Linked DNA regions of Coturnix japonica. The protein of the gene in region 5 interacts with the protein of the main gene of each other region in a pairwise test. Links are inferred from orthologs where the notes say so. Each region holds a gene or a part of one and is shown on either strand. Other genes may lie near its edges. The genes, in order: WDR25, EAF1, TNFAIP8L1, EAF2 and PSME3.

Region 1 (5,571 bases), on a different chromosome or scaffold from region 5:
AAAATAGCTTAGAGGTCGGTAAGGAAAGAGCCATTTACAAGCTTATCTTAAAACTCATGTAAATACAACTTGTTAATGTATTTACAACCTCAAAGTACTAGAAAGAAGGTATTTCTAATGAAGCACTAGAGTCAAAAACTATCATTCTGTTCCTGGACAGTTACACAGGTAATTTTCCAAATTAAAATAGATCATTACAATTATGTACCTTTAGAATTTTTTCTTTAACTTTAGGAAACAAGACTTCGCCCTGGCAGTCCTTCCAAATGGCTTAGGCACATAAAATGTGTTTTGTCACTATAAATTCCCTCAGTGACAGAAGCCATTCTGTTTTAGATTTATAAGCACTCATGTCAAAAGTTAAATCCACACACATCAGTAAATTTCAGTTGTATATGAGACTAGAAACAAGAAGACTGCTACAATGAAGTCTGAAAACAAAAAAGTCTTATAAAACAAATGGCTTGGTATATTCATAGAACCATAGAATGGCGTGGGTTAAAAGGGACCACAATGATCACCTAGTTTCAACCCTCCTGCTATGTGCAGGGTCACCAACAACCAGACCTGGCTGCCCAGAGCCACATCCAGCCTGGTCTTGAAGGCCTCCAGGGATGGGGCATCCACAACCTCCTCAGGCAACCTGTGCCAGTGCATTACCACTCACTATGTGAAAAATTTCCTCCTAATATCTAACCTAAACCTCCTCTGTCTCAGTTTAAGACCATTCCCCATTGTCCTATCACTATCCACCCTAGTAAACAGCCATTCCCTCTCCTGTTTATATGCTCCCTTCAATTACTGGCAGGCCACAATGAGGTCTCCCCAGAGCCTTCTCTTCTCCAAGCTAAACAAGTCCAGCTCCTTCAACATTTCCTCATAGGAGAGGTGCTTCATGTAACACTACTACATCAGATGTATAATATTCTTCTTACTGCTAAAACCATGAATATTCTGAGGAAAAAAAAAAAAACCAAAAAACATATTGTATAACTGTGCTGCATGCTTTACAATATGTCCTTTCCAGCCATCACTGAATTTAAATACTTCTTTGTGTGACAAGTACAGAAAAAAAAATACATTCCTAGAGCACAAAGAGAACCTGGCCTTGATGTGAACAATATTCACAAATTTCCTTAATCACTTTCCCAGTATTCCCAGTTTATTCAATTCTCTGGATACTTCCATACAATTTTCTTCTTAATTCTGTATAAGATAAAACTCTCTTAAATAAAAGTTTCTTGTTATTTTTGTATGGATTTCTTTTGCAGTGTTACACAAAAAAACATTGTACGTTTGCAGAGGTAAATATTTAGAAACAAATTAAGAAGGAAAAACAAAAAAACTGCATCTCTTCAGTAAACCATTTGATGCCTAATCCCACATTACACACACACAGATGTCCTGTTATGAATGGACCCAAGAACACCACTGTATGAATGCTGATAACATAGATAAAGGAGATGTAATGGTAACATAGATAAAGGAGAAGTAATGCTGACAGAATCTATTTGGCTTGTGAAGGAAATGTGAGGAGAAAGACCATTAATTGAAAATTAATTGTTGAGTTCACAATGTTCAAACTCCTAATCAAATTCACAATGCACTTTCAGTCTCAAGTTCCACATCAGAATTATGTTTCTATACCACATATAGAAGGGGTTCTGCAAACAATTTAATGGAAGATAGTGACAGCATAAAAAATACTCAGGTATCATTCTACCTAGTAGTGCAGTAACTAACAACAGAAATTGCATGTGCTCATGAGGTTAGAGACATTCTGGTCTTCTTAAGAATCTCAAACTACCCTTAATTGTGAGAAACTTTTTAATGAAGGACATTTCAAGAATTCTTACCTTGATCTATAGATTCTATGCATGTTTCAAAAGAAAGAGCAAAGCACACAATATCAAAATTTATCTGCATCAAAGGTAACAAATACTGCTAAAGTGTACCAATACGGGGCCTTTACCTGTCTCCACGTCTGTTAGGTGCAGCATGGAATCGAAGCCGCCACTGAGGATCCTTCTTCCACAGGATGACCATTGGGCAGCTCGAACAGCACAGGAATGACAAGAAAATGTCCTCAAACAGCCACCTGTATCTACAGCATCCCATACCTTAAAAAAAAAAAAAAAGGGGGCAACTATAATCATTAAATAGAATAATGTTTTCAGTGTGCTGATAACTAGTTAGAGCAAATCATTTTCTGACTAAGAAAGCTTTGCATTCCAAATGCATATCGGTTAAGCTGTAAATATCTGTTTGAAATAATTGCACGGTTGATTAGAATTAAGGCATTTTATTAACAAGGCATGAATATGTAATGCATTTTCATGACTTACATTATTTCTTGAAACATCTCTACTGCTCTCAGTAGCATTTTGTGTTATAGTTTTCCATCTGTATTTCTGCTCTTCTGTGCATGAATACATCTAAGTACCGTTTCTTCTTAAATCGTTTCTTTCTTTGAAGTTTTTTTTGCTTTTAACAGGCATTTCTAGTGGATTGCAGCTTCCACATCTGCCTATAGATGGGCTATAATCATTTCTCAGTCTTGCAGTTTGTTGCCTTAAGTAGAATTTATCCTTAACTTCACTGAGGAGTCAGATAAGATCACCTTAGAGATATGAAGAAAGAATAGGTCTAAGCCCTCATTTTTCAGTTTATTTTGGACCAAATTAAATCAACGCTCAGCACTTCTGAAAATCCAATTCTAGTAGTTATCTGTTTATTTTTATGTAACAACTAACATCTGAAGAATACAAATAGCTCAATTCATATTTTAAGAAGCATTTTTAAACATAAATTGTTTCCAACTAAGACATTATAGAATACAGAGCTACTAGATGTAATTATAATTTCAATTACTAAATGTGCTTTGCAATAATCAAGAGTTCATCTTTTTTGCCATATTCTTTTGTCATAATTTTTAGCAAAAATTTCACGTTTAGCAACAAATGACCCATGTAAAAATTTGGCATGCTTGCTTTTGTGAGAAAAAGGCTAAATACCCAATTATCTTGATGAATATTGCACTTTGGTAAAAGGTCAGTCATAAAATATCTCACGATCATTTCATAACAGCTGTTATTTGAACTGTCTAATGAAATATATACCAGCTGCTACAACCATACTGGTAAATCCTCAATTTTATTTCTTCTAATATTAGTAGTACAAATAAGTCAATGCTTTGGTAGTACACTTCATGACAGGTTTATTACAGTATCAGTCAGAAAGTAGAACCTAAGGCACTTTATTGCTTTGAAGTCACCATTTTACTTCACTATACTTGTCTTGGTGGTTAGTCATTTCCACCCTCCAAAAACTAGCATATTTTAAATAACACTGATTATGAGCTTTGAAGGTTACTCTGAATTTTGTCTAATCTAATTAGCTAAATTTTAAGATTGTTTATACAATACTTGGAACATAGAAGGCAATTTGAAGAATATCAAGAAGGGGACCTTTTCAATAAATGAGACCAATTTCTACATTTAGATATGTCTACAGAAGTTAGTACTGAATTACAACTGACTACATGCCCGTGCCTTTTAAAATATGTTAAAACAATAACAATTCAGTAAATGAAGGGAAAATAGGTATCTATCTAATAGCATCAACACAGTTCACAGGAAAACATATGCAAGAAAGGAGAAATCAAGACTTCTGGTCATGCATTTTTATTTTGAATTCTTTTTTTACTTTACACTGGACAAAAAGGACTGGCAAAACCATTATTACACTCAGAAGGGAGTGTTACATTATACAGAATTATTTCATCAAAGGATCTTCTAGCACAGACTGTAGTTCTGCAACACAAAGCAATCAAGCAATATTACTTGAATAGTCAGTTAAGACTGTAACTGTGATAACCATAGCCAAAAAAAAGTAAAGAAAACGTAATATTAAGCTGCTTTTGAAAGCAAGTTTCTCTGCTTTAATGAGTTTTAATGATCATTTCAAGCTTCACAGCATTAAAAAGGGTTAATTGTATCTTGGAGGGCTTTTAATACGAAGAAGCTAATGAATGAATCCGGATGAAAGGAAAAACAGGTGTTACATGCCTCAGATATTTTTCTGACAGGTTTCCCTGATTAAGCATGAAAACTCAATTTTCACAAGAAGGATGAATAAAGCAAGTTCTTAGCACTAGCCTGATTGGGAAAAAAGAACAAAAAAAACAAACACTGTATAAATGAGAAAAGCACAGCCTTAAAACTGCACATTTCTCCCCATTTTGTGAAAGAGAACTGATTAACTCACATGGATGAGACTACCAACCACATACTAGTGGAAAGTCACTCAATATCATATTTCTCCCTTCAAGTATATTCTCTCTCAGATCCTTCCTGCATTACAGCAACATGGACAGGGCAGACTAGACTGAGGATGTTCACTTCATTTACCCATCAACTAACAAACTCCTAATCACTGATTCACACAGTCTTTCAGTATTTAACAAGAGCTGATAAATATGAGAAAAAACAACTTTTTACATGGGTAGACAGTGATAAGACAAGTGGAAATGGGTTAGATTAAACATCTAGGGGGAAATTTATCAGTGAGAAAATGGTGAAGACCTGAAACTGCTGCCCAGAGAGCTGTGGATGCCACATCCCTGAAGGCACTCAAGGCCAGGTTGGATGGGTCCAATGGGTCCCTGGGCAGCCTGAGCTGGTGGGTAGCAACCAGCCCATGGCAGTGGGTTGGAGCTGGATGAGCTTTTAGATACCTTCCAATTCAAGATGTTCAGGTTGGATGGGTCCAATGGGTCCCTGGGCAGCCTGAGCTGGTGGGTAGCAACCAGCCCCTGGCAGTGGGTTGGAGCTGGATGAGCTTTTAGATACCTTCCAATTCAAGATGTTCTACGATGTTTCTATGATTGCCTTTCACATGTCCTCCCAATTGCCCTCATGTGTGTCCTTGCATTATCTGCACATAGCGACTGCCCCCATTCCTAGCAATAGCAGATGGGGCCTTCCTGAAGGAATTTTTCATATCTTTTGTCTGGTGAATGTACCTCAGTCTAACTTTAATACACTAGTGTATGCCCCATTGCATCCACAGAGAGTAATTTCAATTTTTACGTTTCCGTGTTCATTTTCCCAGGACAAGGGAAGCTCTACTTGCTATTTGCAAGAAGTGGTATTTGATATTTACAGTTAGCTCCTCAGCAATCACTTAAGGGACACAGTCATGCCCACAAAATGTCATATAAAGGTGAGCCATTGAAAAATCAAGATACAAAAGCGTGTGTAGTACTGAAAACAAGGCAATTAAAGAACAAGCTTTGCACATTCCACACACACAAGAAATTACCAAAAAGTAAGAACTATGAATGTTTTACTGTAATAAATGTCTCCAATGTGATGAAGACTCTTCTGTGCTTAGAAGCAACAGATACATTAACTGTGCTATGACCACAAATAGAGAACCTACTGCACGTGATTACCAAATTCCATCAAAAGATCATCACAAAGTAGACATCATATTTGCATTCTTAAGTAGTTCTTCATTTCTGCATATGGTTTTTCCACTGCTTTATCAAAAGAAAAGAAAAAATGGGAA
Region 2 (5,571 bases), on a different chromosome or scaffold from region 5:
CAGCTGTTGCTTTACATCAAGTATATTTCATAATTGTATGTTAAAATATGTACCCACATCATAAAACACTTTAAAAAAAACAATTATTTTTTTAAACGTTATGTACAATAATGCAAAAATATGCCTAAATACGTATTGAATGCAAAAAAAAATTAAAATAAACCATTTAATAAAATCTCCCTTCCAATGACACCCTGCTCTTCAATACCTTAAAAATAAAAGGAAAGAGCTCGGTAAACAAACAGGAGTTACAACACAAACTATCAGACAAAAGCAGTGCAAAGCAGACATTTAAGAATGGAGAGACATCCGATCCAGTCTAAGTTCCAACTGGATTACACCACAACTGCAGGGTCGCTCAGCATATATCACTTGAATTTGGGGTTTAAAAAGTTAGCCTTGTGCTCAAGATTAAGAGGCTGCCCCGGAACTCATTTCCATCGGAGCAAAAAGTTAATGATAATCCAGCTGAGCACCATTTAAACCCCCTTAAACAGGGGTGAATTTCATGGTAAGCAAACATTTCTTGTTCTGTGTAATTCTGCCAAGCACGGAGATCCCGTCCAACAAATAGTACGGACTAAAGTCTACCTGGACAGCTGTGGTGGGAGAGAGAGTTGTGCTGTTCCACAGTTGCTTTGTCGTCTCCTTTTTCTGCATCCTTTAGGAAACTGCAAACAAGGCCCTGGGTCTGACCATTTCAGCAAGTCCATTATCTCCTATTTGTGACACTGCAGTTTCATTGGCAATTGTGCTCCTATATATTTCTAGGACTGAATATCTGAATAAAATTAGATGCTTCAGTTGCATGAGAAAATGCTGATCTGGTTCTGACTCGGATGTGCTCAGGTGACTGACATATATCCTATATCTTGCTAGATTAACTGCCCTCAGAGCACAGCCGACCTGTATGTGAAACATAGCTCTTCTTTGTAAAAGCAATCTGAAGAGGTTTCAGTATTGCTCCCTATATGAGAGGTGGCAGGAAGCTCCATTTAAAGACCTGCTTATAAGGCACTGGTGCAGCAAGGTTTGTGACAAACATGGTTTTATAATTTCTCCTTTCCAACTATTGAAAAGTTATGTCCATTAAATCAATCATAAATAGCAATAAAAACACATTAGAAAAGTCCCAAATCAAATAAATCAACTTAGCGTTGAAGCTTAATTTTTAACAGTCCCACTTCAGTGCACACTGTAGGTTCTGCATGGTTGGGTTTTTTTTAATACTCACTGTTGGTTCATGCTCACCCTATATTACAAAAGCCCCCCAACAGAGACACAATGGGCTGAATATCTTCCACTATGGACTGAATATCTCCTACAAACAAGAAATTTTCAGATGACATGATGAAGTTACACGTTAAGCTTACAAATAATGAACAGATAAGAACATAGGGGCACATACTGGCTTACCCACTGTACATACCTATGTAAAGCTTTTCAAGAATAAGAATATACACAAAATATACACTCAATTTGCAAGGTAAAACAGCCCTCAACATCTGATATTTTACAGAGTTACACATTCCTTCTATTAAAATTCCACACATGGAAGAATTCCTGTGCCAGATCCTCTTTGTAAGCGATATGATCACTTCAAGGTAAATTAGTTCTTCATGTATATGTAAGAGAAGCAGGAAAAATCTCAGCCTCTAGTCATCACTGTCACTCCCAGATTCACTCAACTGCAAGTCATTTCCTATGGGAAACAGAAACAACAGAACACAAGAAGTGTGTAGGCACATTTAATTGCAATCAAAGCAAAGTACAGCCACGTGTACACTAGAAGATATAAATAAGCATAAGAACTGAATGCAAACGTCATCTCTTGTTCCCCATGCCCAAGAGCATTAAGAACCGCACAGGGCTCATACGAAGCCTGATCCAGGTCCAACAGAACCACCTGGTCTGCTCCCCAGAGGGAAGACAGCACTCCCTCTGCTAGCAGCTGCAGAAGGCACTCCACAGCCTCCACCCACCAAACTCCTGTATACAGCTCTAGGACCAGGCACTGAGGAATTCCCTGGCTTAATTGACTTTATTAAAATAGACTTCTTTGTTTTAAGGCAGTTTGGGTAGCCAGTGTAAGGCCTCCACATGTCAGCAGGCCAGAAAAAATGTTAGAGCCATTGCAGCTCAAAGCTATTGGCTGAAATCAGCTGATACAGGGCGTGAAGGTTAAGGAAGGCCAAGGGCAGCCCTCCAAAGCGCAAAGAGAGATCCAACACAGGAAGGACTGACTGGAAGTGGATCAAACATACAGTCTTTGAGCCTGTCTTGCAGACCACTTGTAATCTGGGGAGGTGGATGGGGTAAAAGTGTGCAATAATCATGCTCAAGTTCTGGTTACTGAATCCAGTCCTATGGGCACTCTTCCAAGACGCTGTCCCAAACACAAGTCCTCTGCAAAGCAGCCTCGCAACAGCTACACCCTGGATTTCTTCACCTGCTTTCCTCTTTTGGGGAAATTTGAGTTATGGTCACCAGTGACTTGAATACTCGAGGTCATATTAATCAGAGCAGCAATCACTGCATGAAAAAAAGGAGCTACCTTAACAGCTCCCAAATCCTACACGGGTTAGAGACTTCCAGAAATTCAGTGACCTATGCAGTATTGCAGCCTTGGCCCAAAAGGAGCAGGGAAGAGGCAGCTCACAAACAAAAACAGGGACATGGAAAGAGTCCTGCTGACTTTGCTGAACTTTGGTTTTCACCCAAGTTTCACCTCAGGCATCCACTACTGTCAAGAACACTGACTGGCTTTGCCAATTTTCCTGCAAGCCTCTTCAGTATCATCTGTATAAAAGCCGAACTTCCCTTTCTGAAGCTGGAAACTCTACATTTATCTGCATTTGAACTACACAGTTCCCTCTGTGTGGATTCCAAGAGATGTACTCAAGCTTGCCTCAGGAGAAATTAAAAACAAATTACAATAAATAAGTTGCAGTTTCTTGTAAATGCAGTATTTTAACTCCACTGAACCTGACCCAGAATAAAGCCTAATCTGTGTTTTCACATTAAAATAATTCTCATCATCATATGGTGCACCATATCCACCTGAACTAACGCTCTGCTGTCCACTCTTTCCACTCGGAGGCCTGAATTGAGACTCAGCATGGTCAACACAGGTCACCGTGCTGATGCCCAAAGGTTTTAGATCAGACTGAAGCAATCTTCACAGCTTCAGACACATCTCAGCCTTCTCTTAAACCCCCCTATCTGTCCACATACTTCAGCCAGCGCACCTCCCTGGGATTACTGTTAGGCCAAGTGTACTTCACGGAGCAAGCTTAACATACAAAGTAAGTGATCCCAAGCAGCTTCCCAGAGTAATAAGACAGACAGAAGCCTTTACTTACTGAGCGTGTTCATGAGCTGATTGCTTCCTTGTGGCCTGCTGGTGCCGTTAGCAACAGCATTCCTATTGTTATACTGCTGGTGAGGTGGCTGGGAAGGGGAAACACGTGCCAGCTCTTCCCCCTCACTGCTAGAGCTTTCATCTTCGCTTCCAGATGAGCTTTCTGAGTCCGATGAGCTGCTTCCACTGCTGCTACTCATCTGCTCAATGATTTCAACCTCCGCTCTAAGCTCTGGAATAAAAGGACATTCATGTGGTTGGAACCACAAGTAAAGCCTCGTGGAGTTTGGGAAAGGAATATGAAAATGCAATCGTTTTGTCAAGTAGAATTTATAACAGCAAAATAGCTCAAATGAAAAGAGAGAGTCGGGAAAGAAAAAACAAACAGTCCTGACAATTTTTTCAACCCAGTTGTTGCAGTTGAAGAAGAGCGAAGTTCAGTGTCATCAAACCTTCATTTCTGTTGTTGTTATTTAGAAACTCAGCAGTGGGGCAGACAAGAACAGCTGAGAACCTTCACACGCTGGGGAGTGGTGACAGTACTTTAACCTGCTATAGAGCTAACGAGTAGTCAGGGAAAATGGACTGCTCTGAAAGTGGCAAGTTATTCAACTCTCACACCTCATTAATGGTTACCTGTGTAAAGTAACAGTAGAATACCACGACTGCCTCATCAGCAAGAGCTGGTGCTGGCTGAACAACCAGTTACTAAGCGGACATTAAGGTAAGTCACAAACCATTCCACACTGTTAAATTTGTAAAAAGTATAAGAAACCATCAAAATTTAGGCTCTCGTTGTGCCAGCAGTTGTGCACCCGCAAGGTAAGAACACAGTGCTTGCTCTGGAGAACTCAAAGGGTGAAGAGACAAAGAAGAGACAACACAAGTACAATTGAGCCTACCCAACAAATGGAGAACCAACACTAGGAGTGATTTACCATAGACCAGCCTTGTGAGTTACTCTGACTGAGACAAAACACAGCTCCTGAACTAGGGACATCCCTCCTGATACAGCACAGCCATAGCTTACAAAGCGAGTCCCTCCTTCATGTAAAAATGGCACAGTTTAAGTTCTTGCCGTCTTCAGCCCACACAGGAGTAAGTCTGAGCAACTGGAACTCTTTCTTTTAAAGAAGATCAGTTTTCCTTGGGCTGCTTAACACTTCAGAGTAACAGCTGAGTTTTCAGCCTCCACGTTATTTGCTGGCAGGAGTTACCCCAGCTCAGCAGGTACTGGTTTCAGAAATTAACTTTTCTGTTGCCCGTTTTGAAGCTGCTACTTTTCAATCTCAAAGTTCAGAGCTCAATTTCAAGTGGTATAGATATCCTGAATTAGTGACAAGGACAGCATACTGAAAGAGAATAACTAACTCCAGCCGGGTATTTAGTGATAATGGGGTTGTTCTTCAAATCTACTTCCTGAAGCTAGATCCCTGACTAGGTCAGCTGGGGTTTTTGCACTTCATTAGTATGCCAGGCAAAATTTACCTTTTCATCTTTAAGACACAGCATGAGAGACCATTGGAAGAGGGAGGAAAAATATGCCATTAGGTCAACAGAAGCTGTTATTTTGTACTGTAATGACTTGCTCCCTCAGCCCTTCCCAACACTCTTACCAGCTTTAAGAATCCATTTTGTGGCTGGAGTCTGGTACACGTAAAAATTAGCACTGGTAAGTCACTGTTCTTACCAACCCTTATTTAACATTTCAAATGATAAGCGTTCACTGTGTTCAAGGCTCAGTAAGTCATAGGGGAAAAGTAAACAAGAACAAAAGCACTTTCCCTTTAAATATTTTTTTTCCTAGCTTCATGAAATTTCCACATACTTCTAATAAGGATAAGAATTGTTAGCTGTAAGTTGAATACACTGCTAGAACATTCTGGATTGCAGCAAGCACAATCACATACAGACTGCAGGCCTCAAAGCAAGAAGACTCAATAAATAGGTCTGTAGAAGGATGAGTGAGAATTACACACATATGCTTACTGAGGTAGAGTCTATGGACGAAATGAAGTGTCTCGGTATGTAAATGTGGAAAGAACATAACCAATCCAGAAAGCAGCTTACAAAATGATAGAGGTATTGAAGCATCAGCTAAATGCTTCCTTGCAGTGCCTCCAATTAAAATAGCTGTGCACGTATATACCTGTACCTATATGCTAAGCTGAACAATGAAAAAGTCAGACCTTTCCTAGACCACTTTTTGC
Region 3 (6,325 bases), on a different chromosome or scaffold from region 5:
TCTGTAAGGGCATGGTGCAGTGTGGCCCTGGCAATGAATGATGACTTTGCACACAGACACTGTAATTTCTTTGGGCTTTTTTCCACCCATTTTGCAGGAATCTGAACCCAACTGAGAAAAGCAGAGCTCCCTGGGAGCTCTGCAGATCCCAGTGGGACTTGAAGGCATGGCCACACCATGGGGCTCAGCTGAAGGCTGCAACATCTACACAGTGTTCTATGCCTGGACATCCTGTGGGAGCTGCCAACGTGATTCTCCAATGATCCCCAAAGCACTGCAAGGCTGGGCAGGTTCCTGTTTCATCTCAGGGCTTCAGCTGAGCACTGAAAACTGCTCAACTGCAGTAGCAGAAAAAGACCTGGAGATACAGGAGCAGGAGGTACAGGAATGGGGTGGAGGAAGGAGAAAACTGTCTGTGAGTAGGGATGAAAATCTCATCCATAGAGGGAATAAAAACCCCTTTAAGGGGGCCAGGGGGGTCCCAGTCTCACACCTGACACTCACCACCCTATGCTGGTGTCCATCTGGGTGCCAATCACCAGGTGTCTACAGCACTTCACAACGTGGCCCTGCTGCACTCCTGGCAGCCCCACAGCAGCTCCCATGGCAGCAGGATGAATATTTGATGCGGGAATGCAAAACACACTTCAATAATGCATGAGGCAGTGTGGAGCAAGCATGCAGAAAGGAGGGCTTGAGCTAAGAGCTCCTCCACCTCACAGCCAACTTCCATTCCCTCCAACACTGTCCTAAGGGCAGCACCACCATCTCCTATTAGGGCCAATGCTAAAAGTCAATGTTTCAGGGTCACCATCTCCCTGGTCCCCGCATTGTGTGTCCCATACTCTCCCACTGCCACTCAGGGAGATGCACACACTGCGCCGCACTGCTGCTCTGCTCTGCCCTATCACTTTCCCTTGCCAACCATCAAGTGCCCAACCAACATTAATTAATTAAACTTCGCTGCTGCACCAGATCGCGGGAGAAGGGCCAGAGCCACTGGGGTGTAACTGGAGCCTGACCCCACAGTGCTCAGCCCCCCCAGCCACATGCTGGGTGGCACAGAAGGGAGCTGGCACCTTTGGTTGTCACTGGTGTGTGTATGTGTGTTGCCATAGGAGCATGTAGCCCTGCAGGTGCAGTGCAGGGTGAGGCCAGAGGGGAATTACCTCACAGCACGGGGAAAACCTTATGACCCAACAGGGTGAGCAGGAGCACTGTGAGGGCAGGGAACAAAGAACACTGTGGGGGTAAACCCTGAGCCTTATGCAGTGCCTCACTTGGTTGCTGCATGGCCCTGCTCTGCTGTTTTGGGACCCACTGTTGAGTTCTGGGCCATGACCCCCTTTCCCTGAGCAATGCAGCAGCAACACAGCAGTGCACAGGGCTGCTCCAGCACTGCTCACGGCCCCATGCCATCCTGCTGGTGGCTGTGCTGGGGTCAGGAGCACAAGCCCAGTTCCTCAGCAGCAAAAAAAAAAAAAAAAAAAAAAAAAAGGGAAGAGACGACCCAAGATGACAAAATGCCTTTGGGGGTTTTCAAACTTTTATAACCTGAAGTCTGCCCAGGAGAAAGTGTCTTGTCCATCCCTGCAGCACAGCATAGTGGTACACACAGGACGCAGTCACCTTGGTACCAAGGGGCCAAAGGCAGCACAGAAGGCCTGAGGGATGGAGCGAGCTAGACTGCAGACAGAGTCATTGCAGCACCCTGCCTGCACCCAGCACTGCTCATCCTGGTGCCCCCTGACACCCAATAGGATAGAAGCCAGGAACTACCTGGAGGAGTTGGCTCCTCTGCAACAAGCCCAGCATCCCCAAGCAGCCTGCAGGGCTGGGAAACACCTGACTTGGTCCCAAATATGAATGGGCACCTGGGAACCCTCGTGTGTCCAGCAGCCCAAATGTGCCCATGCACGGAACTGGGTGAAGGACTCCCACTACCAGCCCCAGCCTCACACATAGGTGGGGAAAGGGCTCCCATAGTGCTCCCTTCCCTGGGGACATGGCCACAGGTGCTGCATGGGAACAGCTGCTGGCACCTGGAAGGGGCCCTTGGGGAAAGCACCCCTATGCCATGCTTGGGGACTGAGTGGTGCCATCACGCCCAGGGGCCTAGCAGCTGCAGCAGCAGGAGGAGGAGGAAGGGGTTATTTTGGTTCATCCATCTCACCTTCTATTTCCTCCTTCCCTTATCAGGCAGCCAACGATTGCTCTCTCCTGTGGCAACTTCCTTTCTTCCTCACCCGTAGCAGACAGAGGCTCAGGAGAGAGATGGGGAAGTGCAAAGCAGAGGGGGAAGCAGCAGTGCCGAGGCTGCACAGCACAGCACACACTTCCTGCCCTTGGGAGGCTGCAGCAGGGGCAAAGCGAAGTAAAGTTTTGCAGATAGACTTTATCCTGATGGAGGCAGTCCTGTAACGGGGCCATTGCTGCAGCCTTCCTCTAGCGACACTGTGCTTCGGGTCACAACACAATGTTTGCAGAACCCTAAAAACCTCTTGGTGTGTTCTGCAGCAGTCAGGGAGATTGCACCTCACACTAGGGTGGGATCCTCCCAGCCTCAGAGATCCACCTATGGTGCTGTGGGGGCTCTAAGCCCCTGGGAGCTGTGGTGCCCCACAGGCACCCCACACGTGCAGATTGGGGCTGCTGCAGAGTGGATGCCATATAGGGCAGCACGGCCCCACTTGCGCAGCACAGAACAGCATATCACATCCTTCCTGGAGCCGCTTCTCCCCTTTGCAGCCCCTGGTTCACAAACCCTAACGCCCTGCAGGAGGATGGGCTCCAAAGCACACTCCTTCAGCAGCGACAGTGAAGCCCTCTCCATTGCCGTTCTCCCACATTTTACCCAGAGGGGAAGCTGAGGCACAGCCCCACACAAGACCCAGCCGCCCCATCAACACGTCCCACCAAACCGCGGCCCCCAGACCCACACTCGTTCCCCGGGACCCCTCCCGGACCTCCCGCTTCCCGCACTTTGCCAGCACGCAGCTCCGGGGCAGCTCGGAGCCGTTCCGCTCTCAGGCGCAGAGCTCCATCCTCCTTCCACCCCCACCGCGCTCAGAGGCGCAGGGGGAGCTGCTGGAGCTGCTGCCGGTCCCGCCGCTCCCGGCCGGAGAGCACAGAGCCGCGGTCAGGGTAGAACCTCTCCCGCGGGGCCGAAAACAGGGACAGCGAGCCCCGCGCCTGCAGCCCTTACCTGCACCGGGGCCACAAGGGCTCCTCCGGTGGGACGGGGTGTTGATTTTCCCCGGGGCTTCTTCGTGCCCGGACACAGCGGCGCTGTACCGGTGCTCGGTAAAGCCGCCGTGCCCGGTGCTCCGGGCTGCTCCGGACCGAGCGGGGCCGAGCGCGGCTGCGGTGGAGGCGGTGCCCACCGGCGGTGCTGGCCAATGGTGATGCGGGGCTTGCTACGAAGCTGCCAATAGGAGAGGGGCGGGGGAGTACCGAGGGGGCGGGCGCCGGGCGCTTTCCTCTCGCCCCGGGGTCACCGGCGCCGAGCACGGGACGGGCGACCCCTCCCCGGTGCGCTGCGGGGCTGCCCCGCCCCGGCTGGAGCCCGGCAGGCGGGTACCCGAGGGCGGCTCCGTCCGCTGCTGTCGTTCCGGTGCCGCTGAGCTCCCGCCCGATAGCGCCGAGCGAAACCGCCCCCGGGAAATCCCGCACTCTGTGGCCGCGCTCCGACTCAGCGGGTTTGGGGGTGGAGTGCCTCTGCCGCCGCTCGGTGGTGCCGCCCGCCAGAAGGGGTCAGTCTGCGCTCCGCTCCCGTCCCGTCCCCTCTCCTCCATCCCGCTGTTCCCCTCCATCCTGCCCCCCATCATTCCACCGCTGCCTTCTATCCCATCCCGGCCCCTTCATCCCTTCCGACCCCTCGAAGCAGCCGCTGCGCAGGATCCTAATTCTGAAAGGTGGCATTAAAAGCACTAAAGGCAGGATTTAGAGCAAATTAAAGTCTGGATTAAACAGACTTGAATTTGCCGATAGTTTCATGCAGCAGCTGGGAAGTTAAACAGTTCCTTCCTTCCTCTGCAGCTCCTGCTCCATGGGAGTGCTCCAACAGACTTTGTCTTCTACGGGGGGCCCTCCAGGGAAGTTATATCCACTCTAAATCTCCCCTCATTTAGTCTGAAACCATTTCCCCTTGTCCTCTGCTAGAGTCTGTCTCCTCTCTTACAGCTCCTTCAGGTCCTGATAATCTGCTCATTCCCAGAGCTTTCTCTTCTCCATGCTGCACAGCCCCAGCTCTCAGCCTGTCCTCATAAGGAGGTGTTCCCTTGGGAACCTTTTCGTGACCCTCCTCTGGTAATACTCCAACAAGTCTGAGTCCCTCCTGAGCTGAGGACTCCACATCAGGAGGCAGTGCTCCAGATAAGGTTTCGCAGTGCAGAAGGGGAACATCCCCTCCTTCACCCACTGCCCATGACTGTGGAACTCCTCCACCCTCCAACCCAGGCTGGAGCTGAACAAACCGAGCCAAGGGTACAGCGCACCCCACCCCATGATGCCCTCCCTCTGCCCATGCACCCCAGGAGCTGCTCTCAGCCCCACCATCTGTTGCTGCTCTCCTGAGCAGTTGCAGCCCCAAGCTGCCTGGCGTCAACCCCTCTCCTGAGCTCATCTGATCCTCTTGTCCACTCACAGGGAGCAGGCACAAACTGTTCACTGGGAGCAGCACATGAAAGATAAGGGTGCAGGGACAGCTCTTTTGTCCCCATTGCTGCCCCATACTGGATCCCCAGTGTTGGCTCACCCCATGCTGACATGCTCACAGTATGGCAGTGTGCTGAGCCATTCCCAGTGGCACAGGGCACTTAAGAGGCTTCCCTGGGTGCTTGGTGTGCCAGCCCAGGCCCTAGTGCCTTGCACCTAAGCCTGTGTTCCAGGATTGCCTGTTTGCCCCAAGCCACCTGAGAGGCTTCCCTGTGTCCAGGCCTGCACAGCCAGTCTTCCAAGGTTATGCTCCTGGACACCTAAAACTGAAAAGCCTTTGCTGCATGTATCTGTGGCATGCTGGATATTCTGGGACATCACTTTCGACCTCTTCCTGTTTCTCTAACTTGTATTCATTTTATACAATACACTGACAAAAAAACTACACAGACTCCAAAGACTACTTTGTGTTCCCTCAGCCATAAGGGATAATGGCAAACACAGTGATTTCTATACTGACAGCCATGTGCGATGCTGCATTCAGTTGCATGGTGGTTCTTCATACTGAGAACACTGCTTAGAGCAATGTTTTTTCTTTACACTTTGCTGGGAGTTATTCATGTCCAGGAAAGGACAAACTGCAGGGCTGCTCTTCTTGTTGCCGCTGTACTTCTGATTGTTGGAAACACCCAGATCACTGACCAGGATGCTATCTGTGATCAAGCAGCTTTGATTGGCAATTGCAATGGCAGGTCCCCTGCAAGCAGGAGAGCATGCAGAAAGCAGCGTTGCATCTTTTAGGCCCTGTTACCCAACGCTGATCTCTTTCTCCCCTGGTTTCTCACTGGCTGACTACTTTAGGTTCACAATCTCCCTGAGGCTCAGCTACACATAGGGATACTGGGTAAGCATACATTTTTGCTAGCTGATAAGTTATTCTAACACTTGTTCACTCAACATTTGGTCATTGTTTCTGGACTCCTGCTTGTCCTTGCATAGGGATAACCTCAGAAGGATGACAGGGGTGCATCTTGATGCCTGCCTGTTGCATCTCAATCTTCTCACAGAGTGAGATAGTCTGGCCTTTTGTGGAGGCCCTGGCTTCTTTGCTGTCTGTTAAATCTGTTTTTATTTTGCTGGGAGTCTCCTATCCTAACAGAACAGCCTTACAATTTTTTTTTTCTAGTCCATAATACTATGCCCATACTGCTCAAAACATTTAAAAACTATTGCAGATCTGCAGGGAAGAATTAACTACATAATTCAGCAACTGTATTTCTAACTAACTGCCCTTCTCAATATCTAATGAAGAGACAACATTCCATAACCACATGATGAGAAAGAAAGACTCAGTGTGCACACTGCAGCCTGTTTGCATCTTAGATCTTTTCCTGTGTCCTTGTGGCCCTGTGTCAACAATTTATGGTCTGGTTCAGCCTGGTTCCATGCCCAGTTCAGTAGAGGGATTTTGCAAAGTCTGTGCCTCCAGAAAAGGGAAATGGGGCACCCCAAAATAATTAAAAACAGTGGCAACGATCTGAAGAGATACAAACTAATTTACTAAATATGGTATTGGAATGCAAGACAACACACTATACTACAATATAATTAGAACTGAAGCTAATAAATCAAATATAATGAGAGAGTATCTGAAAGCTGTAGGCCTTAC
Region 4 (5,571 bases), on a different chromosome or scaffold from region 5:
TGCTGCGACCATCCATCTAATTCCCTATCTACCAAGAAAGCTTTCTGTCAAATTCAGGTCTCTCCAATTTAGAACTAAGCTCAATAGCTACGGAAGATAGTTAAGCCCAAGGCTTGATGCTACAAACAGAAGGTTTCACCTGTCTACGCAAGTTCTCAAGCACTAAGTCATCAACTTCCTCTGTGATGGCTTTGATGTTGTCATGTTTCAAGCAGCATTTTCTCACTATGATTGTTGGAACTAGTAGAGTTGGCCACCTGTACTCCTAACAGTGTTTCACAGTGGAAGCTTTGACAGCTGAGATTCTGTCACAGGAGGAAGAGCTTCATTTCATTTTCATAGCAGCTTTAAATAACGCATGAAGAATGGTGAATCTCATTTGTGAACGAGGGTTGAAATAAATGGCATATTTTGAAGTCACACAAATTACAAATGAAGACATTGTTTTCAACACTGACAGTAAAATGAAGATAGCATTTAGTTATTGGCACATGAAGTCACAAGACTTTTCCATCTGATCTTATCTCTGATCAGACAGTATGTAAGTAACCACAGATATTTAAGTATTTCAATACTTGCTACAAAAGAAAAAACAACACTGGAAAAAAAAAAAAGCCACCACCAAACCTGTTTGCATTACCTATTAGGTGCTGAAATAGAAGTAGGCCCGCCAGAGTCTGAAACTTCAATATAACCAGTTTACATATAGATGATAGGCCTTAAAGATCTTGGGCAGTACAGTAGGGTTTTATAGAAATCTCTTCATAATGTGAGCCTGCAGTTAAATGCCTACTTAAAAGCATACTTGTTTTCAAACAGCTGAACGCTAACAACTTCTACATCTGAATACTCCCTCTTACTTAAGTAGCAAACTTGAGACTCTACCTACTGATTTTCTCCCCCTCCACTGTCCAAGCTCTCCTTTATGGACAATACTCGCAACATATTCCAAGCTGTGTGGAAATCACATCTTGAAGAACAGCAGCAGCTACTCTTCAAATGATATTTTTAGTTGTGTGAATTGGTGGAATAAGATAGTATCACCTGAAAATAAACAACTGCCTTCCTTACACGCAAAAGAGAGTTTTGCCATGCTGTCCAGTTGGGACAGTGCCATGAATAATAGTAATTGAAGTAGCTAAGAATATGCCATCCCTTCTGTAATTTAAAGTATTGTCAGTGTGGTATCTTTCCCATAGTTCTAACCAAAAAATTACATGTTTTGAGAGTACCCTGTAAGTTCAAGTACTTTCATTACAAAATCACTGTTCTGCAGTCTCAATGTATATAACTGGGAGGAAGCCAGAACAACTCAGAACTGCAACAGCTTTAATTTAGTATCTCTTGGGACCAAAAGCCTTCCAGCCTACCATCTAATTCAGACTTTGGCTGAACAACCAAACCTTAGCATTGCCTCCCACAGTTTAAATTAAAACAGACATACTTAAAAACAATATGGTTTCCGTTCAGAATCTTGATGTCTGGAATTGCATACTAAGAAAAGAACCATCTTTGTACTTACGTAGTGTATTCATCATATGACCACTGTTCTCCTGGGATCTGTTATGACTGGCATCTTCATCAGGGACAGCCTGATGTGGTACTGCAGACACAGTAGGCTGTGGCTGCAGATATGGCATTGACAAGGGAAGAGTGGGCCTTGCTTCCTCATCTTCAGAATCACTGGAACTATTTTCACTACTTGATGAAGAGGATGAAGAACTTTTGGAGTCAGATGAACTATCAGAACTACTCAGCTGATCCATCATGCTGGCTTCTGCTTTTAGTTCTGCAAACAATGTTTCTCAGTTAGCATTATCATGGTTGAGGTATAAGAGGGACAAAGAAAACTGTCATTTAAAAAAGAAAATCAGTTACACAAATCAACACATTACTGAGAGGAAAAAAAAAAAATCAGAAAACCTCAGAACAAAGAAAAGGGTATAAGCAAACATCTAGTTTGTCATGTGGTTTTCCTCTCCCTGAGCTTGGACAGTTTTTCCCCTTTCAAGTCAAGCATTAGAACAAGGGTTACTGAACATGAACCCCACATTCCACAGGGCACATTCCATCTCGCATGGCCTTTAATTTCTGTAACAAGCTAGTCTTATATTTTCCCTAAAGATGTCTTTACCTGATTAAAAGTTGCAGTTACAACCACAGAAGTAAGTCAGCAACAAAATGTTAGTAACTGCACTCAAAATACCTTCCAGCAGTTCAGCAATGCAATCAACATGCACATGGACAACATCATCAAATACTGAAGATGAAAGTGATCAAAAAGTAAGATTGTTCAAGGCTTAATCAAATCAAGAAAGGAAAATAAAAAGAATAAGCTTCAACACAAACTTCCATGAATGCTTCCAATTCTGCATTATCAAAGGTCAGCCTGAAGGAAAAGTTGTTCAGGTCAGTCAGCCTTATCAAAAGCCAGTCTAAAGGAAAAAAGGCACTCAGGAAAACTGGCAGTTCCTGAAACAGCATGGCTATGACTGCAAGGACAAACTACCTCAATGCCAAGGAAGAACAGAAGAACCAAAGCGGTCCTTTATTGCAATCTGACTCAAACACAAGGGAAAATAGAGGTTAAAAACTGGAAGAATCCTGCAGCTAAGAGCAAGCATGCACAACATCAGCATAAAAATAAGCCAGAAAATCTAAGGTAAAAATTAGAAAGCAGCTGGCAGAAAGATCAAGATGATATTTCAAAATCATTCTAGAAGAGAAATGCCAAGGACTGATCTACCACCTTTCTGAGGTTGTAAGCTAATCAAGATATAGCGCTCAAGTCCTGTGCACTTATGCCTCTTCCTCCCTGCTCTCACTTGTGACTACTGATTAAAAAAAAATTAACAGTACCAAAAATTGATGAATGAGAACTTTGCCCTGAATTCTGAAACAACTGAATTTCATTAAAAAAATAGAAGCATTTTCAGACAGAGGAAGAAGGGCTATATGTATACTGGGGGAGAAATATAGAGTGACCTTCCTCCCGCCCCAGAAAATGAAGGTAGTAACAAGTTCAAAGTAGTGCACTTAAACAGGAATAGTCAGTTACACAACCAAGGGATGAAAAATGATTCAGCAGGCAACACTTTGGAAGAGCCTGTTACAGTGGATCACTAAACACAGTTCTACTGTATCATGCTGCAGCAGAAATGACAAGCATTACACTGAGTTGAGATAAGATGCTATCTGGTCTTCATATATGAAGACAGTGCCAGTAAGCCAACCTTCTTGCTCAGAGCAGCAAGGTTAAAACCTCAGCTGAAACTGGTTTTTGGCACCATATTGCAGGAAAAATTTTGAACTAGTAGAAAAGTTGCTAGAGGAGAGTGACAATGAATTAGTGATCTAGAAAACTTCTACAAAAGAATCTACCAGATGGCATCATTTTGAAGAAAGAACTGGTGAGACATAGTAGATTTCTGAGTATATTAAGACATTAAGGGCTACTTAAACGCAGTGGAGTAATCTGGCCTGTACTTACACAATGAATATAAACCATATGGAAAACAAAGCCCTGGAATAAGCTGCCAGGGAAAACTCTAAATCCATCACCAGAAAGCTTGAAGAACACAGTTAGAAAAAAACATCAGAAATCTGACTTTAGGACAGAAAGATGGACTAGATAACCTTATGAGGTCCCTTCCAGCCCTGTTTCTTAATTATTCTGCATTTTCTTAAGTAGCACTCAAAATTGGACTGGCAGTACAAAAGAGTTTGATATATTTTGGCAGCCACTTTGTTATCTTGCAATGTGTTCAACACTCCCACTCCCCAAAAGCAACAGAACACCAAGAAAAAGTATTATTTCATTCACTGCACTCAAGCTTTCCTTTGTCTTTGCAACCCCAGCTCTATTCTGATACTGTTCTGTATATCTTTATAGCGACACATCTGAAAAACCTATTTGAAGGAATTCAGAACATCTTTCGAGATAGACATCAACTGATTGAAACTGTCACCTGTCAGCATTCCTGTAGCAAGTAATGGCCACCTGCCATTTTCCCTGCCCTCCAAAAAGTAAAAAGGCCTGCTACTACACAAAATATGTGTCTCACAAACACAGCACGTAGCACTGTTCAAGAGGTGATTTGTGCAGGCACTTGCTGTATTCCCCCCCCACCCCCACTTGAATGTCATCTTCCACAAGACTCATCTGGGAATTCAAAAATTGAGTTGTAATGCACTGCACCCTATACGTTCGCTGAATGCAGAGAAACAAAAGAAGTTGTGTCAAAATGGGAAGCGACTACACTGGTTGCAGTACCATAATACAGGCTACTTTCTGCTTGATTATAGAAGCAGCAGGAAGAAAACATATGTTTATATATATGTGTATGTGTGTGTGTGTGTGTATGAGTAAAAGCAGCATAGCTTGTGGCATTAAGCCTAATGATTCACCTGATTTTAAGGTTAAGTTTCAAATGCTGCTTTGCTACCACTTGAACCAAAGCATGAGGGCAAAGTGCTTATACAATCAGCTCCTGGAGTGAATGTCAAACTAAAAACACACTCTGCTCTCAAAAAATCCTAGTTAAGAGCAAAGTTTCTAAAGCTCATATAGCAGCGGAGTTTACCTTGTTCAATGTCATCCATAGGAGAAGGTGGAAACATCTTGTCTTTCGGTGGGGAATTTTTATTGTTTGGATTTTTAGCTGAGTTTCGGATTTGCTGCTGTTGCTGTTCTATACGAGACTGGACCTTACTGCTTCCTTCAGCTCTGTTTAAAAAGAGAAGAAAATTGTCATTGCTTCAGAAGACAGGATATGAGATAAAAAGCAGGAATACAGGGGATGCTATACCTCAAGTTATGGAATTACTTGCCATATCTTCCTAAAAAGCATCATTACACTTACAGGTACATTAATTAATCTTACTAGCATATAATTAGATGTGGATGTAACATTTAAAATACAGAGCCAATAAGTTTTGAATTCTGTGTTAGTTGACTTGTTATAACACCTGGCTGCCCAGGACCATTCACTAATAACTACTGAAAAAGTTCTGGAGATTCAGTAATACAAAAGAACACAAACTTGGTATGGGAAAAACAAGTCACTGCTACTACTGAAACCAGAACAGAGATTTTTTTGATCTATTTTCTCATTAGAAGAAGACATTATGCAAACTACTTTCCAAAGAGATTTGCCCTCTATAATCATTAGATAATCGTCACCATCTCTTAACAATGTGCCACTTTTTAGTTAAAGTAGAGGAAAAATGACTTTTCTATGATTTCTGCTGGTCAAGACTTGAAAGCTACAAAGCCAAGTTGGCATGTTGAGATCACAGGCTTTTCAATCTATTGAACAAAGCCAGAGACAATCTAAACACAGCGTTATGATAAAAATAGTGAAGGGCTGAAGCATCTCTCAATTTCAACTCAGTAACAAATAGATTCTCTTAATGAGTGGAGGACAGGTGTTCACCTTGTAAATTACCCACCTGATTTTCTTCACAGTGATGTTGCTACTAAGTTTCTCTAGGCGACATTCTCCAGTGTCATGATTGATAATTAAGATACATTCCTTTAGGTAAGGCTTCTTTGAGCCCTTGAACACTGTC
Region 5 (6,027 bases):
CCCTGGAATTTATAGAAACCAAAGCACAGACAGGCCGTCTTTTGTGTCAGTGACTGCCAAGCAGCTGGTAAAGAGTATAAACATGCAAACACACAATAAAAATTCTTGCCAGCCTTTCTGACATGGGTACACCTCAAGCAGACCCCAACCTGAACTTCAAACTCTAGAAAACTCCCACTCTCCCAACGTGCACATTCAGCTTGTGTAAAACAGACTGCTGGAAATTGCTTGACACTTACTCATGCTGGCTGCGTTTCTGGCAAGTGTTTTTGTCTGAACACAACTGCTGTGCTCTTCTTCTTCCAAAGTTCTAACCTCCTCTGCAAACACAAGCAGGGGTGTCCCAAGAAGCTGTGAATTAGAGCCCTGATAGCTGACACTTCTCTGGGAAAGCAGAGCAGAAACCACCATGCCAAAGGGTGAGGATCACAGACAATAAACCCTCCCCTGCTCCTGTGCATGAAACATGCTCCTCACCAACACCTGTCAGCACAGCAGTCCTGGACGCTCCATCCTTCCACAGGACTGTTGTGTAGGGCTGCTGGGGGCTCCCTTTCTCCTGGCCATATCAAGGTAGACCCCTTCTGCCATACAGCACTGAGCAGTGCCAACAGCAGACTTTCCAGCAATAGCTCCAGCCTCCTCAGCCCCAGGGACCTGTGCTGTCATTTCCTTACCCATCTTCACCAAGAGGTGTGGGCACCATCAGTATTTTCCCACTCCACAGGAAGCACCTCGCAGCCAATGGCCCAGCAGGAGGCAGAATGCAGCTGAGCAGCAGCTGCCGCTTGTGCTTCTTCTTGGTGGCTGAAGACTTTTGAGGACAGGTTGGCCAGGTCTCACCCGGCCTCCCAGCACTTCTCAGGCTGGATCACAGCCCCCACCTAGTGGCAACCAAGCTGTAAGAGACACAGCCTCCCTGTCACAGAGCAGAACAGGCTGGACACCAGCAGCTCCCAGACAGGGTGCTGGGGAATGAATGGCACTTGGCTGAACACCGCTGAGCAGGTCCCTGCAGCCCAGGCTGCATGCCACATGTGCTGAGGAACAGGAATGAGAACAAAAGCACGCCTCTGGGTAACGCTGAGGATGCTTTAGCCCATGTCCCCTTTGTACTGCATGCACAGTAACATCAAGAGAGTAATGGACCATGCACTGAATACACGTGTCAGGTACAACATTCAGATGCATGTCCTATGACACTGCACACATCTGCTCTGCACAGATGCAAGAGCAGCCGTGGAGTGGGTTGCAGCTCTTAGAACACCATCATGCAAATCAGTTGTACCTGAGTGAGCCAAGATGGCCTGAGTACAACACAAAAGGCAAGAACAGGGCAGATCTCATCAAATTCAAGCCCTTGTGCTTAATATAAAGTATGCTGAAGGAACAGAAACAATCTACAAAGCAGCACACACATAGCAGTATCAAGTCAAAAAGAATGAGGAGAACGAATGGAAGGAACCACTGGATGTGTGAAATGCACGACCGAGAACAGACACCAACACTGCAGAGCTCAGTATCACAGACAAGGGGCTGTCTTAAAAGAATTCAAAGTACCTTATTTTAATTTCTTGACATGGTAAAAGTTTACATACTTTCATCTGGCAAGGAGAGCTCAACAAATTAAAATAAATCAATACAAAGAAACACAAGGGGGAGTGCTGCTCCAGGACAGCAGCTACAACGCAGTTGGTTTGTTACAGAATATTTATTAGCGGGAAGACTAAGAGTTGACTTACTACAAACAACAACAGAAGAGTCTACAGCAAGGGCTGGTGGCCCTCCACACTCTGGGGAAATCCCTAGGAAACCAGCAAGAGACAACATGGCTCTTAGAGGTGGAAGCAGAAAAAAAATAGTTTTAAAAAAAAAAAAAAAGGAGAGAAATTTCATTCCATTTGTCACTGTTGTTACAATGAAGTTAACACAACTATTAAGGCTACTGCACAATAAGAATATATGGGTGTAACAACAAGACCTGGGAAACAGTGAGGTTCCAGAAATAAATGATTTAACATTCCCTGAATATGGGACTTAAGTAGAAATATTATAAATAAAAAATTTGGAGCCTGCAGCATTATGGGATCACTTCCCACACACAAAAACTGACGCAACACAACCAATCATTTCCAAAGGGGTTTGTAATGGACCATGAAATGTTCCAGCAGCTTAGAGGAGTCAATAGGCACACAAGGGTGCTCTTTTGCAGGGGAAAGAATACAAGGTTTGCAACGGTACCAGGTAGGAATTGGCCATCCTCACCCCAAGCACTATTGTCACAGCTGGCCTGCTGCGCCTGGACAGCAGGAAGCACTGCCAGGAGAAAGCAGGTTGCAGTCTGACCACACATGGAAGCTATCAGGAGTTTAGCATCACACCTCTGGCTCCTCCTTTCTCAGCCTGGGCAAAAGCAGCTCATACCAAGGAGGCATGAAGACTCCCATGAAGTTGGTTTTAACCAAGAAAGTGGCTCTAGTCAATTTGCAGACTGGAGCAGAAGCCATATGCGCTCACAACCAGCCAGTACAGCAATCAGCCCTAGTGACAAGCACAACCTTCAGCTCTGCATTGACCCGCTCAGAACCAAGGCAGAGACAGATGGGCCACGCTCTACTGAGTCAAAAAAGCCACAAAACGATTACAGGCCTCTCAGTGGCACTGCAACGTGGCTGTGGCCACCAACCCAGAAGGGGCAGGATCCTCTGTCTTTGCAAATAAGTCAGTGCAGAGCATAGGCAGAGGGGCTCAGCTGCAGCCAGCAGTGAAGAGAGCTGGCTTTCAGCCACTGCACCACCATCCAGGCTTAGTCTTGAGCTGAAGATGGTCTGCCCCATTCACAGAGACCACAGAGAAGTCTCCAGCCAAGAGATGGGACAAGACAAGGGCCTGATCTCTACTGTAGCTCCTACTCAGGTAGGAAGAAAGGCATGAAGGAATGTTCCTGCCTGGCTGGCGCTCTGCTCTCACTCTGCAGTAGCCTCTAGGGCATCCCAAAGCAGCAAGGCCTTTTTCTTTACCAGATATACTAGAGGGAGGGAGAGCTCCTGAGACCTGAATAAAACCAATCACAAAACTAGGTGATAATTTCTTTAGATTTTAACTAAGAATGCAAAACTATTTCCAGCCAGTTTCCCATCTCGATAGTCATGTAACAAACCAAGGCAATGACGGTCTTTAGTTGACTGAACAGTTCTCAAGTTCAAACGTTGACACTTAATAAAGGGTCTCAGCATTGCTGCTCCGAGGCCTCTTGATCTTCTCAATGTTTTTAAGGATCATGTCATGCAAAGTGACCTGCAAAAAGGGAGAACACAACTCAGAAATGAAGGGGGGATGTCACTTAGCATTCAGGTTTCACAACCACTGACTTGAACAGTTTCACAGCTCATCCTGGTACTACTTTCAACCCCTGCCTGCAATCACATTTCTGCTTAAAATAAGTGCTTTCTTCCGCAACACTTTAGAGAAGCTAATGTGTGCAATACAAAAAAGAGAAGACATCAAAAGAATGGTCTGTACTGCCTGAAGAATTTAGGATTGCAGCAGCGCTCCTAGAGCAGTGTACTGAATATTTTGCACTCAGCTCCCATGAATACTCAAGTTGGAAACATCCACATCTCTGGGAGATGGTGGGGAGCCAATAAACACTTAGCTCTTGTTAGAGCCAAAGCAGACTGGGGAAAAGATAGGCTTCTCTCCAGGACTAGCTGTAATCATAGGGAAAGAGGAGAGCAGTAGAAGGATCAAAAGGACTCTTTCTATTATGTGGGGAGCCAGTGAGAGCTCTGTTTTTTCACTTACATATTGATTCCTCAGCTCTGAAATGATCAGGCGCAGACTAATATACTCCTTCTCATCAATCTCTGTCACTGTGCGCCGGTAGTCCTCCTGCAGAAAACAGATGCATGGCTAAGAGGCCTGAGCTCAGGTGTGCTTGATACATGGTATCAACTGAAGGTCCTACCTTTTACAAAGGAATCCCCCCTTTCAGTTTCCTCTTCTCTAATGAAGATATTCTGCATATTCTTATATAGCCCCCCCTTTTCCCACAGGGCCCCTAGCTCAAAATTAAGACAGTGATGAAGTAGCCTGAAGAGTCCCAGAAAGCAACAGCATGTAAACTGTAAAGCACCACTTCCCCATTTACTTACCACATGAGGGTATTTAGCTATTTTGGAAACCAACTTGGCTCTTGTGATATAATATCTGTTAGGAAAATGGAGACTACAAATCAGACAAACAGTACCAAGATTCTTCCAGGCACAATCTGCCCCAGCAAAGCTGGAGGACCTTCCCCAAAAGGTTCCTTTTCCCAGCAGCACTCCCAGAAAGGGCTCTGTTCCTTCATACCTAGAAATCTGGTCCAGATAGGATGCTGCCTCACTCTCCACAGTTCGAAGTTCAGCAACTGTTTCCTCCTGCAAAGGAAGCCTTTTCATGATACTGAAACTGCCCATCGCCGCTCTAGAAGTACCAGGTCGTAGCAGTTCCATGTCAAGCTTAGATTTGGATCTTAAAACCTAAACCAACTCCACCACTGCAGACATTGGATACCATCAAATGATTTGGAAGAAACCTAAAGGTACATGCTCTTGGGGGCATAGTTCCCTGCCACAGTAGGGCATACAGCCTGTCAGTGGTTTACAGGCTGGTTCAGCCCGGTTCCGTAACTAGCAGGGCAGCAGTACACACAGACCCACACCCTGGGAAAGGGAAAAGGGAAAAAAGGGGAGAAGGGTAGAGAGATGGGCCTTAAAAGAAAACAGCAACAGTCTGATGAGAAACAAACTAATTTACTACATCAGATATCAAAATGCAAGATAACACACTATAATACAAGACCACAACATAGCCAACAATATCTTACCTGAATAGAAACACCAAAGTTGTTTCCATCTTCTATCCTGGGAATTAGAAGTTGCACCCACATTTTGACCTGCAATAGAAAGATCACTATATAGATCACTGTCAAGATTTTTACAGGATTCATACCACTGTCATTTATAAAATACAGAGGAACCTGCTCCTTTTCTCAGAGAACCTTCACACAAGCAAAGGAGCAAAAGTATTCTAGTGCCCCCATCTGCTCCAGAACTCAGGGCTGTGGCCCACACCCACCGTATTACACTTCTCGATAAGCAGCCTGATCTCTGGTTTCACTTTCTCAATGATGTCCACCAGCTGCTGGTTGCTCTTCAGCATCCCATTGGGCATCACAAATACTTTGGTACCTACAGTGGCAAAGAAGACAAATACATCAGCCCCACGTGGGAACAGGTACACCAGAAGATCAGACCAAATGTCCACCTGAGCATTATGTCTCCTACAAAGGCTAGCAGTGGACACTGAGCCAGGATACAGCTAACCTGTGAGGAAGGGGGAAATTGGGCATGGGATAGCCATGATTGCCACAGAGGAAAGAAGACAGAAAATACAGAGCTTAGATGAGAACTGGAGAGCTCCAGCCTGCTGAGCCTAGGTACAAGGATTTTCCTGACACACGTGTAAGAAATGATTCTGCCTCAGCTTAATCCAAAGCTTGAGGTCTTCCTCCAGATGTAAAAAGCTTTTAGAACTGATCCACAGGGAGGCCAGCTGCTCCTGTCAGCAGGCTAAGCCTAAGCAACTACTACTTATGTCGATCAGAGAAATCCAAATCCTGCTACTTCCAAGAGCTGGAACCTGACTCCTCCACAAGAGAATATCTGTAGGTCAGGCTCTGAGGCTGCAGGGACAGGTCTGCGTAAGCAGCAGATGCTGTCAGGACAGGGCAAGCGGGACTGAAGTCAACTCATTCTCTTAAGGCACGGTTCAAGGGGCAGGCAGCAACAAAGAGACTCGGGGACTCTTACCCTGAAAGGTCTCTTCACGGTCTTCCAGCTTCCTCTTTTTCATATTTGGCTAAAATATACAAAATGTTTTACTCACAAACTAGTCGCAAGCTATAAAACTGTTGCAGAGGAAGTAAGGATAACATCAGAGCCTCTGCTACTCTCCTGGTTTCTAACCATCCGTCTTTAAAAA

What was found.
Region 1: the proteins of PSME3 (region 5) and WDR25 interact in binary tests that used the Homo sapiens proteins (3 or more experiments, as listed by UniProt). The two-hybrid records come from large-scale screens. The link is inferred for Coturnix japonica from reciprocal best matches to the Homo sapiens genes PSME3 and WDR25.
Region 2: the proteins of PSME3 (region 5) and EAF1 interact in binary tests that used the Homo sapiens proteins (3 or more experiments, as listed by UniProt). The two-hybrid records come from large-scale screens. The link is inferred for Coturnix japonica from reciprocal best matches to the Homo sapiens genes PSME3 and EAF1.
Region 3: the proteins of PSME3 (region 5) and TNFAIP8L1 interact in binary tests that used the Homo sapiens proteins (3 or more experiments, as listed by UniProt). The two-hybrid records come from large-scale screens. The link is inferred for Coturnix japonica from reciprocal best matches to the Homo sapiens genes PSME3 and TNFAIP8L1.
Region 4: the proteins of PSME3 (region 5) and EAF2 interact in binary tests that used the Homo sapiens proteins (3 or more experiments, as listed by UniProt). The two-hybrid records come from large-scale screens. The link is inferred for Coturnix japonica from reciprocal best matches to the Homo sapiens genes PSME3 and EAF2.

Annotation. Positions count from the first base shown.
Region 1 is NC_029520.1:44,215,492-44,221,062, reverse strand, and holds part of WDR25 (WD repeat-containing protein 25), read right to left. Parts: intron 2,121-5,571; coding exon 1,973-2,120; intron 1-1,972.
Region 2 is NC_029517.1:38,105,290-38,110,860, forward strand, and holds part of EAF1 (ELL-associated factor 1), read right to left. Parts: intron 3,594-5,571; coding exon 3,363-3,593; intron 1,703-3,362; coding exon 1,656-1,702; 3' UTR 1-1,655. UniProt on the Homo sapiens protein: Acts as a transcriptional transactivator of ELL and ELL2 elongation activities.
Region 3 is NC_029543.1:4,002,929-4,009,253, forward strand, and holds the start of TNFAIP8L1 (tumor necrosis factor alpha-induced protein 8-like protein 1), read right to left. Parts: upstream 3,395-6,325; 5' UTR 3,206-3,394; intron 1-3,205. UniProt on the Homo sapiens protein: Acts as a negative regulator of mTOR activity.
Region 4 is NC_029522.1:20,654,288-20,659,858, forward strand, and holds part of EAF2 (ELL-associated factor 2), read right to left. Parts: coding exon 5,452-5,571; intron 4,727-5,451; coding exon 4,584-4,726; intron 1,790-4,583; coding exon 1,523-1,789; intron 1-1,522. UniProt on the Homo sapiens protein: Acts as a transcriptional transactivator of TCEA1 elongation activity. Acts as a transcriptional transactivator of ELL and ELL2 elongation activities. Potent inducer of apoptosis in prostatic and non-prostatic cell lines.
Region 5 is NC_029542.1:4,666,020-4,672,046, reverse strand, and holds the end of PSME3 (proteasome activator complex subunit 3), read right to left. Parts: intron 5,905-6,027; coding exon 5,856-5,904; intron 5,235-5,855; coding exon 5,122-5,234; intron 4,940-5,121; coding exon 4,871-4,939; intron 4,422-4,870; coding exon 4,354-4,421; intron 4,210-4,353; coding exon 4,155-4,209; intron 3,892-4,154; coding exon 3,805-3,891; intron 3,298-3,804; coding exon 3,217-3,297; 3' UTR 1,542-3,216; downstream 1-1,541. UniProt on the Homo sapiens protein: Subunit of the 11S REG-gamma (also called PA28-gamma) proteasome regulator, a doughnut-shaped homoheptamer which associates with the proteasome. 11S REG-gamma activates the trypsin-like catalytic subunit of the proteasome but inhibits the chymotrypsin-like and postglutamyl-preferring (PGPH) subunits.